Linked DNA regions of Saccharomyces cerevisiae S288C. The main gene of each other region encodes a partner of the protein of the gene in region 2 in a complex. Each region holds a gene or a part of one and is shown on either strand. Other genes may lie near its edges. The genes, in order: RNA15 and PCF11.

The links.
Region 1: PCF11 (region 2) and RNA15 share a complex: the UniProt entries of both Saccharomyces cerevisiae proteins name them as parts of the CFIA complex.

Annotation. Positions count from the first base shown.
Region 1 is NC_001139.9:413,763-420,350, reverse strand, and holds RNA15 (Rna15p), read left to right. Parts: upstream 1-3,314; coding exon 3,315-4,205; downstream 4,206-6,588. Other genes in the region: porphobilinogen synthase HEM2, read left to right, coding at 1-824; DPC13 (Dpc13p), read right to left, coding at 1,062-1,526; YGL041C-B (uncharacterized protein), read left to right, coding at 1,465-1,647; transcription elongation factor DST1, read right to left, coding at 1,939-2,868; RIM8 (Rim8p), read right to left, coding at 4,621-6,249. UniProt on the Saccharomyces cerevisiae protein: RNA-binding component of the cleavage factor IA (CFIA) complex, which is involved in the endonucleolytic cleavage during polyadenylation-dependent pre-mRNA 3'-end formation and cooperates with the cleavage factor NAB4/CFIB and the cleavage and polyadenylation factor (CPF) complex.
Region 2 is NC_001136.10:919,329-926,550, reverse strand, and holds PCF11 (Pcf11p), read left to right. Parts: upstream 1-2,744; coding exon 2,745-4,625; downstream 4,626-7,222. Other genes in the region: COX20 (Cox20p), read left to right, coding at 1-258; IVY1 (Ivy1p), read right to left, coding at 405-1,766; chromatin-silencing protein SIR4, read right to left, coding at 4,904-7,222. UniProt on the Saccharomyces cerevisiae protein: Component of the cleavage factor IA (CFIA) complex, which is involved in the endonucleolytic cleavage during polyadenylation-dependent pre-mRNA 3'-end formation and cooperates with cleavage factor NAB4/CFIB and the cleavage and polyadenylation factor (CPF) complex.

The DNA.
Region 1 (6,588 bases), on a different chromosome or scaffold from region 2:
ATAGGCTAAAAGACTACTTAAAGCCATTAGTGGCCAAGGGTTTGCGTTCTGTGATCTTGTTTGGTGTGCCTCTCATCCCTGGTACCAAGGATCCAGTGGGTACAGCGGCTGACGATCCTGCAGGGCCAGTCATTCAAGGTATTAAATTCATTCGTGAGTATTTCCCTGAACTGTATATTATTTGCGATGTCTGTCTCTGTGAATACACTTCTCATGGCCATTGCGGGGTTCTATACGATGATGGTACTATTAATAGAGAACGTAGTGTCTCTAGATTAGCAGCTGTGGCAGTTAACTACGCTAAAGCTGGTGCGCACTGTGTGGCTCCCAGTGATATGATCGATGGTAGGATCAGAGATATTAAACGAGGCTTAATAAATGCAAACTTGGCTCACAAGACCTTCGTGTTATCCTATGCAGCTAAGTTTAGCGGTAATCTATATGGGCCATTCCGTGATGCTGCTTGTTCAGCTCCTTCGAATGGTGATAGGAAATGTTACCAATTACCTCCTGCCGGTCGTGGCCTGGCACGTAGGGCGTTGGAAAGGGATATGAGTGAAGGTGCCGACGGTATTATTGTTAAGCCTTCCACTTTCTACTTAGATATAATGAGGGATGCAAGTGAAATTTGTAAAGACTTACCAATCTGCGCATATCACGTGTCGGGCGAATACGCAATGTTACATGCTGCAGCTGAAAAAGGTGTTGTTGATTTGAAGACAATTGCCTTTGAATCTCATCAAGGTTTCTTGAGGGCGGGTGCCAGATTAATCATCACTTATTTGGCTCCTGAGTTCCTAGACTGGTTAGATGAAGAAAACTAAAAAAAAACGTGCTTACCTTGTGAATAGTAAAAATAATGATGTCAATATGACAAATGTAACAGTGCTGGCAGTATATCCCTATTTGGCAAGCTTTATAATATGCAAAGATGCGACCTAGTATACGATACAATGGAAATTATGTAATCCTCCTAATGAGTATTTATGTAGTAGTACGTAATATTTATACACGGAAGGCGCTAGTAAGACAGATAGGTAATGTTTTTTTACTTTCACCTCTCATTTTTTCTTCTCAAGGCCTAAAACGGTCATTAGCGGGGCCAGTTGTTCAGGTCCTAACTGTATGCCAGATTTTTCCAATTCCAATTTAAATTCCTTCATAGCGTGTCTCAGATCTCTGTCCATTAAGATCTTAATCATTTGCCATGGTTTCATCGTATTTTCTTCATTGGCAGAAGTCCCATCTAGATTAACCAATTTTTTTTCGATCATGATATTGCTAACCTTTTCTAACTTTTCCAGAACATTAGGCCTCGAATTTATTTGATCCATGAGTTTCTGCACCTTTATGTGTGCATCTATTTTGTCATTAGGCTGTCTGTCGTCCCAAGATTGAGCGTAAAATCTTCTCGGAGAAATCCAGGAAAGCCTCCTTAAACTCCTGGTGTGATTAGTGGTAGAAATGTTCGATAGTTCTATCGAACGAGTGACTCTGGAACTATGCTTCCATATAACTCTTAGCATTATGTGTGGCTGTAGTATCTACTTTCTGCTTCTTGTGTTTATTCTAACTTTTTATTCGTCGGTTTTGTTACATCTTAAATTGTATTTCTTTAGTTCTGACCGAGCCATATTTAATGCATAGAAGATTAATAAAGAAAACATGAAAATCATAAATAATTAAAAGTAACTGGACGAACAAAAGATTTTACGTGAGACAGACAAAAAAAATTAACACCAGCAGTATATGTATATATGTACATCGTATATGAATATGCCATTTCAACAAATTGGATATGGTTGTATGTTTGGCTTTTTCTTTTCCTGGATTCCGGCTGTCAAATACTACTACGAATAGAGTCAGAACAGGCTTTTCTGTCCCTTCCTCCTATTGTTTCCTTTGCTCTGTCCGTGGCTACTCTCATCTTTTTCTATTCTAAGAGAATTTCCATCTGTTACCACATGCTTCACATGTACAGAAAGTGGTCAATGGTTCATCCGCAGATCTTGTTTGCAATTGATAGTAAGATACCTTCTTCTCTTTACATTTACCACATGTAAATCTATCGGTGACTGACCTTTCTATGGTGGCACCCTGTGCGTTGTATAAGTTTTGCTTGGCAATTTCTTCTATCTTTTGCTTTAAGGGCGCTGGTGCCAGATCCTTGGCATCGCATGTAGCTAAGAATTCAGGTGTTATATCACCGTTGGCAATTTTATGTTTGAGATCTGGGTTATTCTTTGATATGACGTTTGAATAAATTATACGATACCTGGCTTTGTAAGCGGCTTCGTTGGTGTCACAGTTGTTAACTTTATTCATTTCACTTTCTATGGCCTTTGCAGTATGCAAAATAGATTGAGGTGGATGCTCACTTTCCTTGGCCAAAACGTCGTAGAGTGCTTTTAGTACCTGATCACGTAATTTGTGGTGGTATATAGCTGTATCCACACCATCGTTCTTACTATTTCTTGGTTTAGTGCTGACGTACTTGTCTTGTTTCATGGCATCTGACTGGGAGGAGGCCGGCTGTTGAACACCATTCACGGACTCACCTACAGTTGTCTTGTCCTCTGCATTGCCTGGCGCATGATCTTGATGATGCTGCTGTGCTTGCCTGGAACGCTTATTTTTATTAATTGCGTCTTTCCAAGAGCTAATCATTTTCTTCACGAGTTTGCTGATCTCTACATTAGTGGATTTTTTAAACTTGTTGACTTCCACACCAACTTTTGTTTCTCTCAGTAACTTTTCAGTGGGGACGAATTCTTTATCCAAGACATGTAAGATTTCTAGAACTGCAGCATCATTACTTTTGTTCTTTTCTAGATTCTTAACATGTACCAGTACTTCCTTACTATCCATGATGAATGCTCTTATGCGGACTGACTACACTGTGAATGTTCTGCTGCTTGAGTAATTTTTCATTCAATATTTTTCAATACGTAGTCCCATCATCGAGTGATCACTTGGTCATATCAGCACAGTGGGGCGGGTAAGAGTTGAAAATTTCCCTATAATGAAATTGGATATTATATATCAAAAAGGCGTTGTCATTCGAAGCATCGTTTCAAAAGAAGGTCCGTAAAGTTAAGGTGGGCTAGTGAAGTATCTCATAATTGTTACAATCACCATAAGAGAAATCTTGCGTTTAGAATTTCCTAAGAGAACCGAGTCACTTCTAGCACTTGCTTTAAACAGAAACACTTGTAATAATTGTTAGAGGGATATACAAGAAAGGCTATATACCAATAGCATCACATAGACACGTTAATTATCAATACATTGAAAGAAAAGACGAAAACGATAAAATGAATAGGCAGAGCGGTGTGAATGCGGGGGTACAGAACAACCCACCATCCCGAGTGGTGTATCTGGGTTCTATACCATACGATCAAACAGAGGAGCAGATACTTGATTTATGTAGTAATGTTGGGCCCGTGATCAATTTGAAAATGATGTTCGACCCCCAAACTGGTAGGTCGAAAGGGTACGCGTTTATTGAATTTAGAGATTTAGAGTCCAGTGCCAGCGCAGTACGTAATTTGAATGGATACCAATTAGGCTCTAGGTTTTTGAAATGCGGTTACTCCAGCAATAGTGATATATCGGGAGTTTCACAACAGCAACAACAACAGTACAACAACATTAATGGGAACAATAACAACAATGGAAATAATAATAATAATAGTAATGGGCCGGACTTTCAAAACAGCGGAAATGCCAATTTTCTAAGTCAAAAGTTTCCAGAATTGCCCTCTGGTATCGACGTTAACATAAACATGACCACCCCTGCTATGATGATATCGAGCGAACTAGCTAAAAAACCGAAAGAGGTGCAGTTGAAATTTTTACAAAAATTCCAAGAATGGACAAGAGCGCATCCTGAAGATGCTGTTTCGCTATTAGAGCTGTGTCCACAGTTGAGTTTTGTTACGGCTGAATTATTGCTAACGAATGGGATATGTAAAGTGGATGATTTGATCCCGTTAGCTTCCAGGCCGCAAGAAGAGGCATCGGCTACGAATAACAATAGCGTGAACGAGGTGGTGGATCCAGCTGTGCTTAACAAACAGAAAGAACTACTGAAACAGGTGTTACAACTGAATGACAGTCAAATTTCTATCTTGCCCGATGATGAAAGGATGGCTATTTGGGACTTAAAACAAAAAGCATTAAGGGGAGAATTTGGTGCATTTTGAAACTAGGGAGGCAAAAATACAAAAAAAAAATGCGGTTCCGCAATGATGAGGCAACAATCTATCATATTTTCCACGTGAGGGAGCTCAAAGTTCGGTATATAGCTTACATCTCAATATCACAATCACTTTTTTTTTTGACGTCTTTATAAATATAGAATAACGTTTACGTTACTGCTATTTTTTCGTTTCTTATCTCAGTTTGCCTGAGGACGGCTATAGTTTTAATCATTAAACGTATATTAAGTACACATGAACATATATAAATCTCAGGTTTGTGCATGCTTCGATTTTTTTTTTCTATGTTAATGTCATGGATCATTACGTGGCTGGGATAGTGGAAATATGCAAACATGATTAAGGCGCCTAGTTCCAACACGGCGCAAGCTGCGAGTATATGACTTGTTACCTGCACTTTTTAATAGTCATCACAAGGGGGAGGATCGCTTTCTAACTGTTGTAGTCTTTTTTGTTCAAGTTCTTGTTTGTCTTCCGACGGTACACTGACTTTATCATTTGGCGAATACTTTGGAACTGGAACATCGTCACTATCATATGCATTTAATGGGGCCAACCAATCTCTTAAATTCGATGGAGAATTTTGAGGAGCCGTGATTGAGGATTGGGATGGGATGCTTGCATCAGATTGCTGCTGTTCGGATCTCGTCGTTCCTATGACGGTTTCTATGGACATACCAGTTACATTCCTCAGTCTCTTTAGCTTTTCCACATTTACCATATCTTTGAAAAATATACTGGATTCATAACCCTCAGAATCGTTCTCCAACGTTTCTGGATTGACCATACGTAGCATTTTCCTTTGGATACGGTTGATATTATTCTCTACGCCCAAGCCATTTTGTTCTCCAATAGGAGTTCCTATTATTCTATTAGATTCTGTGTAAACCACGTTTTTTTTTGATAAGTTAACCATAACCTCGATATAGTATTGGAAGGAGAAAAATTTTCCCACAGTAGTAAGGGTCGAAAATGCATCAAGGGGCACTTTCAGATAAACTCTAGATTGAAACTGCAACGTTTCAGGGTTAATATATATAGGAGAGATACTCTGACATATATCTTTTCTGAAAGTCTCCATAGGATCATCTTTGCCTGCACCGCCCACCCTACATATCCTCACCAAAGTGGTGGTGAGACCCGCAGGGGCATAGAAAGGCTTATAGTGGTCAATCTTAACGTCTATAGGGATAATTTCACCAATCATGAATCCAGCCTGCGGTATGTCTACGGATATAGTCACCGTTTTATTTGGTAAGGGGGACGTCTTGGAGTTTACTGAACTGCTAGAAGAATTAGAAGTAGTAGACTTTTGAGTTAATTGTGTATACGATGAGGATTCGTCCTCTGTAGATTTGTTCTTTTTGTTTTGGACCATAGATGCTGATTGTAAAACCACTGTCTTAGTTTTCGGCTTGGGCAGCCTCGAGACGTCCAGCGGAACTATGACTGCAAACTCACGTTCGCATCTTGCTTCCGGTTTTTTTAATCCGTTGATGTTGTTGAGGGATTCTAAAGTGCAAGAGAGGAAGTATGTTATCGAGCCCCTTTCGAACTTTATAGAGCTCAACATTCCTCTGCCTCGTGGTATTCGTATCCTAAAGGGAAACCTGTGTTCCCCCTTGCTTAAACCATTGAGAATGGTGGTTTTGTCAACATGCGGTTTCTTTTCCTTAGCCGAAAAAGCTGTCTTTACGTAGTCCTGTCCATAAAGAAACGTCGACTTCTCTAAGGTTTTCTCAATTCTCTTATTCTTGGAGGTTGGACTGTTCCCCGTTTTCACGCGAACCTCACATACTAGCGATAATTTGATCGCTACGTTAGTTATGTCTCTCTTTATGTCAATGACCGCTTCTCCGGTTATGCTTTCATTCGGTTTCCATACTCTATGCGGTTCGTCTATGTCTATACGAAATTGCTTCACGTTGTTATGGGCCAGCATGCTGTTGCCGTAACTGCCAACAATACCATGACTCTTTATTTTTGATGGTGCCCTTGATTCTTTGTTCCACAGTCTCAGTAACGACATGTTTGGTCAATGCTACCGATAGTGAGGGTGATGCTGATGATACTATACTAGCGTACTTTGGCTTTAACGTTAAAATCTTGTACGTGCGTGAGATGATGCGTATTCGGGGATGTCTATTTTCTATTTTTTTTTTTTCTTCGTCTAGATTGTTACTTTTGACTCAATAGAGCTTAGACAATAATACTATAAGGAACTTTGAAGAAGAAATCAAATGTAAGGGGAAAAGGAAAGGGTATAAGCCTAAGAAAAATGGCACCTGCAGAAATTGCTAGACAGTAGAACGTGTTTTGAAGCCAATCGTTGGGATTGGAGCGGAAAAGTCCAAGAACAAATAACGAA
Region 2 (7,222 bases):
ATGAGCTCTCTGATACTGGGCTCGATTGTCGGATGGGAGCAATGTAGGCTAAAGAGACAAAAAAGTTTCCAGATCGCACAATTGGCAAAGGAAACCGTGGCGAAAAAGGAAAAACCAATGCTCCATAATGTCCCTCATGACCCATCTCTGCCGGGGCAATGGGAGGCCGCCAAAAATGAAAAGCAGAGTCAGTTTGAACAAAGTAACCAGAATTTATCTCAGGCCTCCTCTGAGAAGAAATGGTACAAGTTCTGGTGAAAAGAACGAGGGGGAAACAGAAGGTAGAAGCAGGGCCTTTTAACCGTTTTCCTATGTATATATGCAACATTTCTCCGAAAATACTATAACTTCAATTGTTCACTTTCTCCATTTCTATATAAAAAGCATACATAGAGTTACAAATTTTATATATTACTTGACTGGTCTTGCATGCCGTCCGTATCGCTGCTGTGATTGTCATTATCTTCTTTAATGGACAATTGTTTAAACGTTTGTGTGGTTTCCTCGGCAGAGTTTCTCGTAGGCGGTAAAGAAAATGAATTTTCTGTTCCCATCAAATTGTCTGTATCCTCATCTTCGCCATTTTTGCCGCCGCCATTGTTTCGTACCCCGTCCTTGTTTGAACTTGACTGTGAATGATTCGGTGTGGATACCGTTGAGGACCCCTTGGATTTGGGTAAAGATGTTTTTGATGTGGAAGGTTGGCTGGTTCCTTCTAGTAGTTCATTGAGCACCACGTCATTCCCACCCGTTTCCTCATCGCTGTTGTATGCTTCTCCAGCAGTCTCTCCATCACCACCGATGGTCCCGTATGGCCCATCTGCTTTTTTGCTGAAGGGGTCGTCTGCATCACAAAGTAGTTCGTCTAGCCCGCCTCCAGACCAACCTTTCCTTGCAATATTTTCAGAAATTTCCACTTGTGCCCTAGATACCGTGGCAACTTTGCTGAGTACTTTGTTGCATGTATTTTCCACAAGTTCGTATGAATCCATGTAAAAATCGTGCTTTAGTGTCTCCAGTTGATCTAACCTTGCTTGCAAGCTAGAAAGGCTCTCTCGGTATGAGATTAAATTCCTTATTTTTCTTTTCGAGATATCGAAGTTATGTCTTTCCTGCAATTTCAATTTTAAACTTTGCTCTTTGCTTTGTGCTTTGAACTTGTTCTCCATTATCTTGGTCTGTAATTCGAATTCATCAATATCATCAATTAAATTATCTCCCAACAAGTCATTGAAATACTTTGACATTATAAGCTGATGATTAGATAAAAGGTAGAATAACCCACTGGCACTCAATAGTTTCTCCGCCGTTTCATCATTGCAACCCTTCAACTTGGCAATGTTTTCTAAGGAATGGGCAATTTCTGCCCCATTCTGAGATGTCTTTAATAACGAATCCGAATAAGCATTCGAGTTCCTGAGTAATGTCGATAGGGCTTCCTGGGTCTCTTTCACATCTCTCTTTGTGATTAGCGTTTGCAAGTCGTTTATTGTGCTCGTACCAGAAGTTATGCTCGATGCCCGACGGGCCTTTGAATACACTTTGGATGAACGTAAATGGTTCATGTCGTCCAGATGGTCGTTATTTTCTGAGCCAGCACTGCTAGCCACTGGTCTTTTACTATTTACAATTGGGTAAAATTCAGATAGATGAGGCGCGTATCTGTCGGGAGAGACGTCAAAATGGTTACCGTTGTCCCAGTCAACCCTCAGTCTCTGGTCACTTGAAGGAGATCCCTGCAATTGCTCCGTATTATTGTCAGGCATATCCGATTTCTCTTCCTGTTACTTTCTTTAACAATATTTTATTCCTTGGTGAAATTTAATTGACCCTTTATTCAGAATATATACTTCTATTGTATGGATATGGTTTTTTTCCACTTAATGTTTAGCATAAATTTCCATCTCACCCTTTTCTTGTAACATATCGCCCAATATTTTTTTCTTTTGCCCGCATTGACCATTTTTTCCTGTAAAACGAGTAATGTGAGCAGTAGAATAAGTGTATATCATCCGTTAAATAAGGCGCAATCTACCGAAGTTTGAGATCTAACTCAAGTTTTTATAAATTAGATACGTTTTTCCTTACTATTCTACATGAGATGGCCATTAGCATGAGATGACTTCAATACGCACTTCTGTTGGAACGCAGATAGGATGTTTACACTCGTCTGCTCTATTCTTTGTACTTTCAATAGAGCAAAGCAAGTGGTACCAATGAAGAGAAGGCCCAGCTGTTTTATTCCAGCGGCGAAGAAGTCTAGCCTATTCCTAATGTATTAGTACAGCTATACAGAACTTTCTCAGTCTAATTTTTGATGTACTTTTATACATAGATTTACACACTTTTCAAAACGTACTTACGTAGTCGGTTCAAGGGATACACCAATTTAGCCAATGAAGCTGGGCCCCAAGTGATCAGAGTTTCGTAATTGAGCTAGGATTTGCTGCTTTTTATTCCCTTTATCACCAAATGGTATTACCTAGTGCATCTAAGTTTTAGTTTACCCGGGCGAATTTTTTTTAAGGACTCGACGCATTGGATGAGAACTTGGCCTAAGGCATGGGAAGAAAGCGAAATTTCAAAAATTAATGAGACAATGTTGTTCTACTGTTAAGGGTTTAGTAGTTTAAAAGTCTCTCTTTCAATTTTGCATTGCAAAGAATTACCAGGACAATTTTCGGAGCAGTTAAGAAAACTGTACTTGAAAACACTAGGTCTATTTGTAATACTCTCTTTTCATTATGGATCACGACACAGAAGTTATAGTCAAGGATTTCAACAGTATTCTTGAAGAATTAACTTTTAACTCGAGACCCATTATTACCACTCTCACGAAGTTAGCAGAAGAAAACATTTCGTGTGCTCAATATTTTGTTGACGCCATTGAGAGTAGAATTGAAAAATGTATGCCTAAGCAGAAGCTATACGCTTTTTATGCCTTGGACTCCATTTGTAAGAATGTTGGCAGCCCATACACAATCTACTTCAGTAGAAATTTGTTTAACTTGTACAAAAGAACATACTTATTGGTGGACAACACCACAAGAACAAAACTCATCAATATGTTTAAGCTTTGGTTGAATCCTAATGACACCGGCCTGCCTCTGTTTGAAGGCTCAGCACTGGAGAAAATTGAACAGTTTTTAATAAAGGCCAGTGCTCTCCACCAGAAAAACCTGCAAGCAATGTTACCAACTCCGACTGTTCCCCTCCTATTAAGAGACATTGATAAATTAACTTGTTTAACTAGTGAAAGGCTAAAGAATCAACCAAATGATGAAAAATTAAAAATGAAACTGTTGGTTTTATCTCAGTTGAAACAAGAACTGAAAAGAGAAAAACTAACTCTCAATGCTCTGAAACAAGTTCAAATGCAACTAAGGCAGGTCTTCTCACAGGACCAACAAGTTTTGCAGGAAAGAATGAGGTATCACGAACTTCAGCAGCAACAGCAACAACAGCAGCAACAGCAACAACAACAACAGCAGCAGCAGCAGCAGTATCACGAAACTAAGGATATGGTCGGTTCTTACACACAAAACTCTAATTCAGCGATTCCATTGTTTGGAAATAATTCAGATACAACGAACCAACAGAATTCTTTATCTTCCTCTCTTTTTGGTAATATTTCTGGCGTTGAATCTTTTCAAGAAATTGAGAAAAAAAAGTCCCTAAACAAAATCAATAACCTCTATGCATCTCTTAAGGCTGAAGGGCTCATATATACTCCACCAAAAGAATCCATCGTAACGCTTTATAAAAAGCTAAATGGACACTCAAACTACTCTCTTGATTCACACGAAAAACAATTGATGAAGAACCTGCCAAAGATACCCTTATTAAATGATATTCTTTCTGACTGCAAAGCTTATTTTGCCACGGTTAACATCGACGTTTTGAATAACCCATCCCTGCAGCTGTCCGAACAAACTCTTCTTCAAGAAAATCCCATCGTCCAAAATAATCTTATTCACTTATTATACCGATCCAAGCCAAATAAATGTAGCGTGTGTGGTAAGAGATTTGGCAACTCAGAAAGTGAAAAACTACTACAAAATGAGCATTTGGACTGGCATTTCAGAATAAATACAAGAATTAAGGGATCACAAAACACAGCAAATACAGGCATAAGCAACTCTAACTTAAATACAACTACCACAAGGAAAAATATTCAATCAAGAAACTGGTATTTGAGTGACTCTCAATGGGCAGCCTTCAAAGATGATGAAATTACCTCCACAAAGCATAAAAATGATTATACTGATCCGCATGCCAATAAAAATATCGATAAAAGTGCCCTAAATATTCACGCTGATGAAAATGACGAAGGCTCTGTAGACAACACTTTAGGAAGTGATAGAAGTAACGAGTTGGAAATACGGGGAAAATATGTTGTTGTACCAGAAACTTCACAAGATATGGCCTTCAAATGTCCAATTTGTAAGGAAACCGTTACTGGCGTTTATGATGAAGAATCTGGTGAATGGGTTTGGAAAAATACTATTGAAGTGAATGGCAAATATTTCCACTCGACATGTTATCATGAAACGTCGCAAAATTCAAGCAAATCTAATAGTGGCAAGGTCGGTTTGGATGACTTAAAGAAATTGGTCACAAAATAAGAGCAGAACTGCATATATACATTTAAATTTAATAACTATATATTATATTAAATTCTTTGTTCTTGGTATTTGATGGGTTGCTCATTTGTTTATTTTTTTTTTTTTTTTTTTTGCTTATGTGTCCATTATATTATATGTAATTTTACATATGTAGCCAAAAGCCCAACTAATCATTAAAATCGATTAAAGACCGTAAAGTAAATTGTTCATTATAGAAGAAAACGACAAAGAAAAACAGGGTACACTTCGTTACTGGTCTTTTGTAGAATGATAAAAAGTCAATACGGTTTTATCTCCTTATTCACTTGAAAATCTTTTTCCATCAATTTGTTAATTTTAGCATCTTTTTCAGATATTTGACTTCTCGCATTTTCAAGACATTTCTTTGTAAAAGTTAAATCACCTTGAAGTGAAGTTATTCTAATTTCATTCCTCATAACTTCATCTGACAAAGACCGAATAATTTCATTTGCAACAGCCAATTGTTTTTCCTTTTCATCCAGCGCCGATGCTGCTTTCGACAAAACGATATCCACAAAGGAAAGACCATCTTCTTTCATGTCCTTCGAACATTCGGTGACACTATCCTTATTATCAATTTCAAGTTCTGTTTTTTGGGTTGATGTGTACATATTTGATTGTTGAGTACCAGTTTGTGAATGTGTTCCTAAAACGTCAACACTAGTTAAAATTTCTGTTGTATTACTGTCTGTTATATCGTCGAGTTGTTTCACTCGACGATCTTCAACGATTGGAACCCTTTTTCCAACAGAAAAATAGCCGTAGGACGCAGGTCTTGAGAAAGAGAGTGAGATGTTTTCTGATGCGTGCTTCCCATTTCCAGGGATTATTTTTGCTTTGTTAGAATTAAAAATACTGTCGAATTGCTTCTTTTCTGGTAGGGTTTTCGTTTCCATTGTGCTCAGCTGCACCAAAGACTTCACATCTGGCGGAGAAGAAGGCTTCACATTTTTAACCATTAACGGTTTTTTTGTAATTTGCAGTATATCCTTAGGCATAATTTTGGCATCTGCCATATGCTCGGGCTCGACCACATGTGGTTTGACCGACGTGGATATAGAAACAGGTTCACAGGACTTCTGAATATCAAATCCCATGTTGGAAACAAATCTCTGAGTCTTCATAAATGACCAAAATCTGGCTTTTTTTGCATCAGGCTTGTTCTGTAATTCGTTGTAGTAAATCTTAATTTCAGAACTCATTGGGTAATCTTCTATTTCACCTTTCAGTATAATGATGTCACTCTCTCTAAAATTATTGGAAATTGCTGATTTAAGGTTGTTAGCAAATATATCTTTAAGTAACTGCATTTTTTCGTTAATTATTTGTCTATCACTGTCGGAAAGCTCCGAAGGGAACTCATCAACCAACGAAACGGAAATAAGTTTCAAATTTGCAAGCCATTCTTGCCTCCAAGAGCTTTTTGAAAGGTTCTCCTTCGTGTTTTTGGGTTTGCTAGAATTAGTATCACTATGCGACACTCTTCTATTGCTTTTAGTAGGCGTGGTACTTAGCTTTGTTTCTTCGAATCCTAATGGAGAAGACACGGTTGGAATTTGGGATGGTTTAGCGGAAGAAGAATTTTGTTCTTGGCTATGTTTCCCTATATTGATATTTTTATTGGTCACATCATTTTTTTCAGTGTTATTTGTGTTTTCAAATGTAGAAACTGCATATAATGGCAAATATTGTAATCTGTCCTTCTTGTGCACTTGTTGGTAAAAGAAAGCACTTGATGTTTCATAGTTTTCAACAGAGCAAATGTCGTTAGTCACACTAGTTAATGGATTGCCACTTAAATAACTATGTTTTGGGATCCCTTGTTCAATAAGGTCAGTTATTGTTTCTTTATCGTATGTCGTTTTATCAGCTATCCTCCAAAGAATGTTTTTCGTCAATTCACGATCAGATTTTCGCCAATCCAATACAGGATCAAACCATTTGCCTGCCTGAATTTGGTCCTTTTCAGCACTTGTATCTAAATCATTAGTTACTTTGATTTCATTTGATTCACCAGAGCTTAAACTTTCCAAGTCAGTTAGGCTATCATTATCTGAAGAAGAATCGTCTGAGTCGGACACGTATACCAGCTCCATTTTTCCCGGGTGAGTTATTATCGTATTCATTCTCCCACGGCAGATCTTCTTTTTTTCAATTTGCTCATCCTCTGTATGATTTGCGAAAGATTTCTTTGAAGGTTGAGATAGAGAAACTGGAAAATTATCGCTATACTCATGCTTACTTGCACTAACTGGCTGAGATAGAGACACCTTATCAGTCTTATTTTCTGGCTTTTCAGTGGAAGCGATAGTTTCCAAAAAATTGGCTTTTTCTTTTGACAGAGCATCACTAGAAAAAGGTTTGCTTTCACTTTTAATGAAAGGAGCCTTGAGTACGTTTGAAAACAAATTTAATAAAGATTTGCTTTCAACAGCCTTGGAAACCGGTTCATCCTTTGATTTAACATTCTCCCGGTCAATCTCTGAGGATATTTTTGGAGCAGATTCAACCTGAAAAAGGTCATTAGTTCCAATTTTTATATCTTTTTTTTGTGTAACTTTATGTGTGGAAGGAAG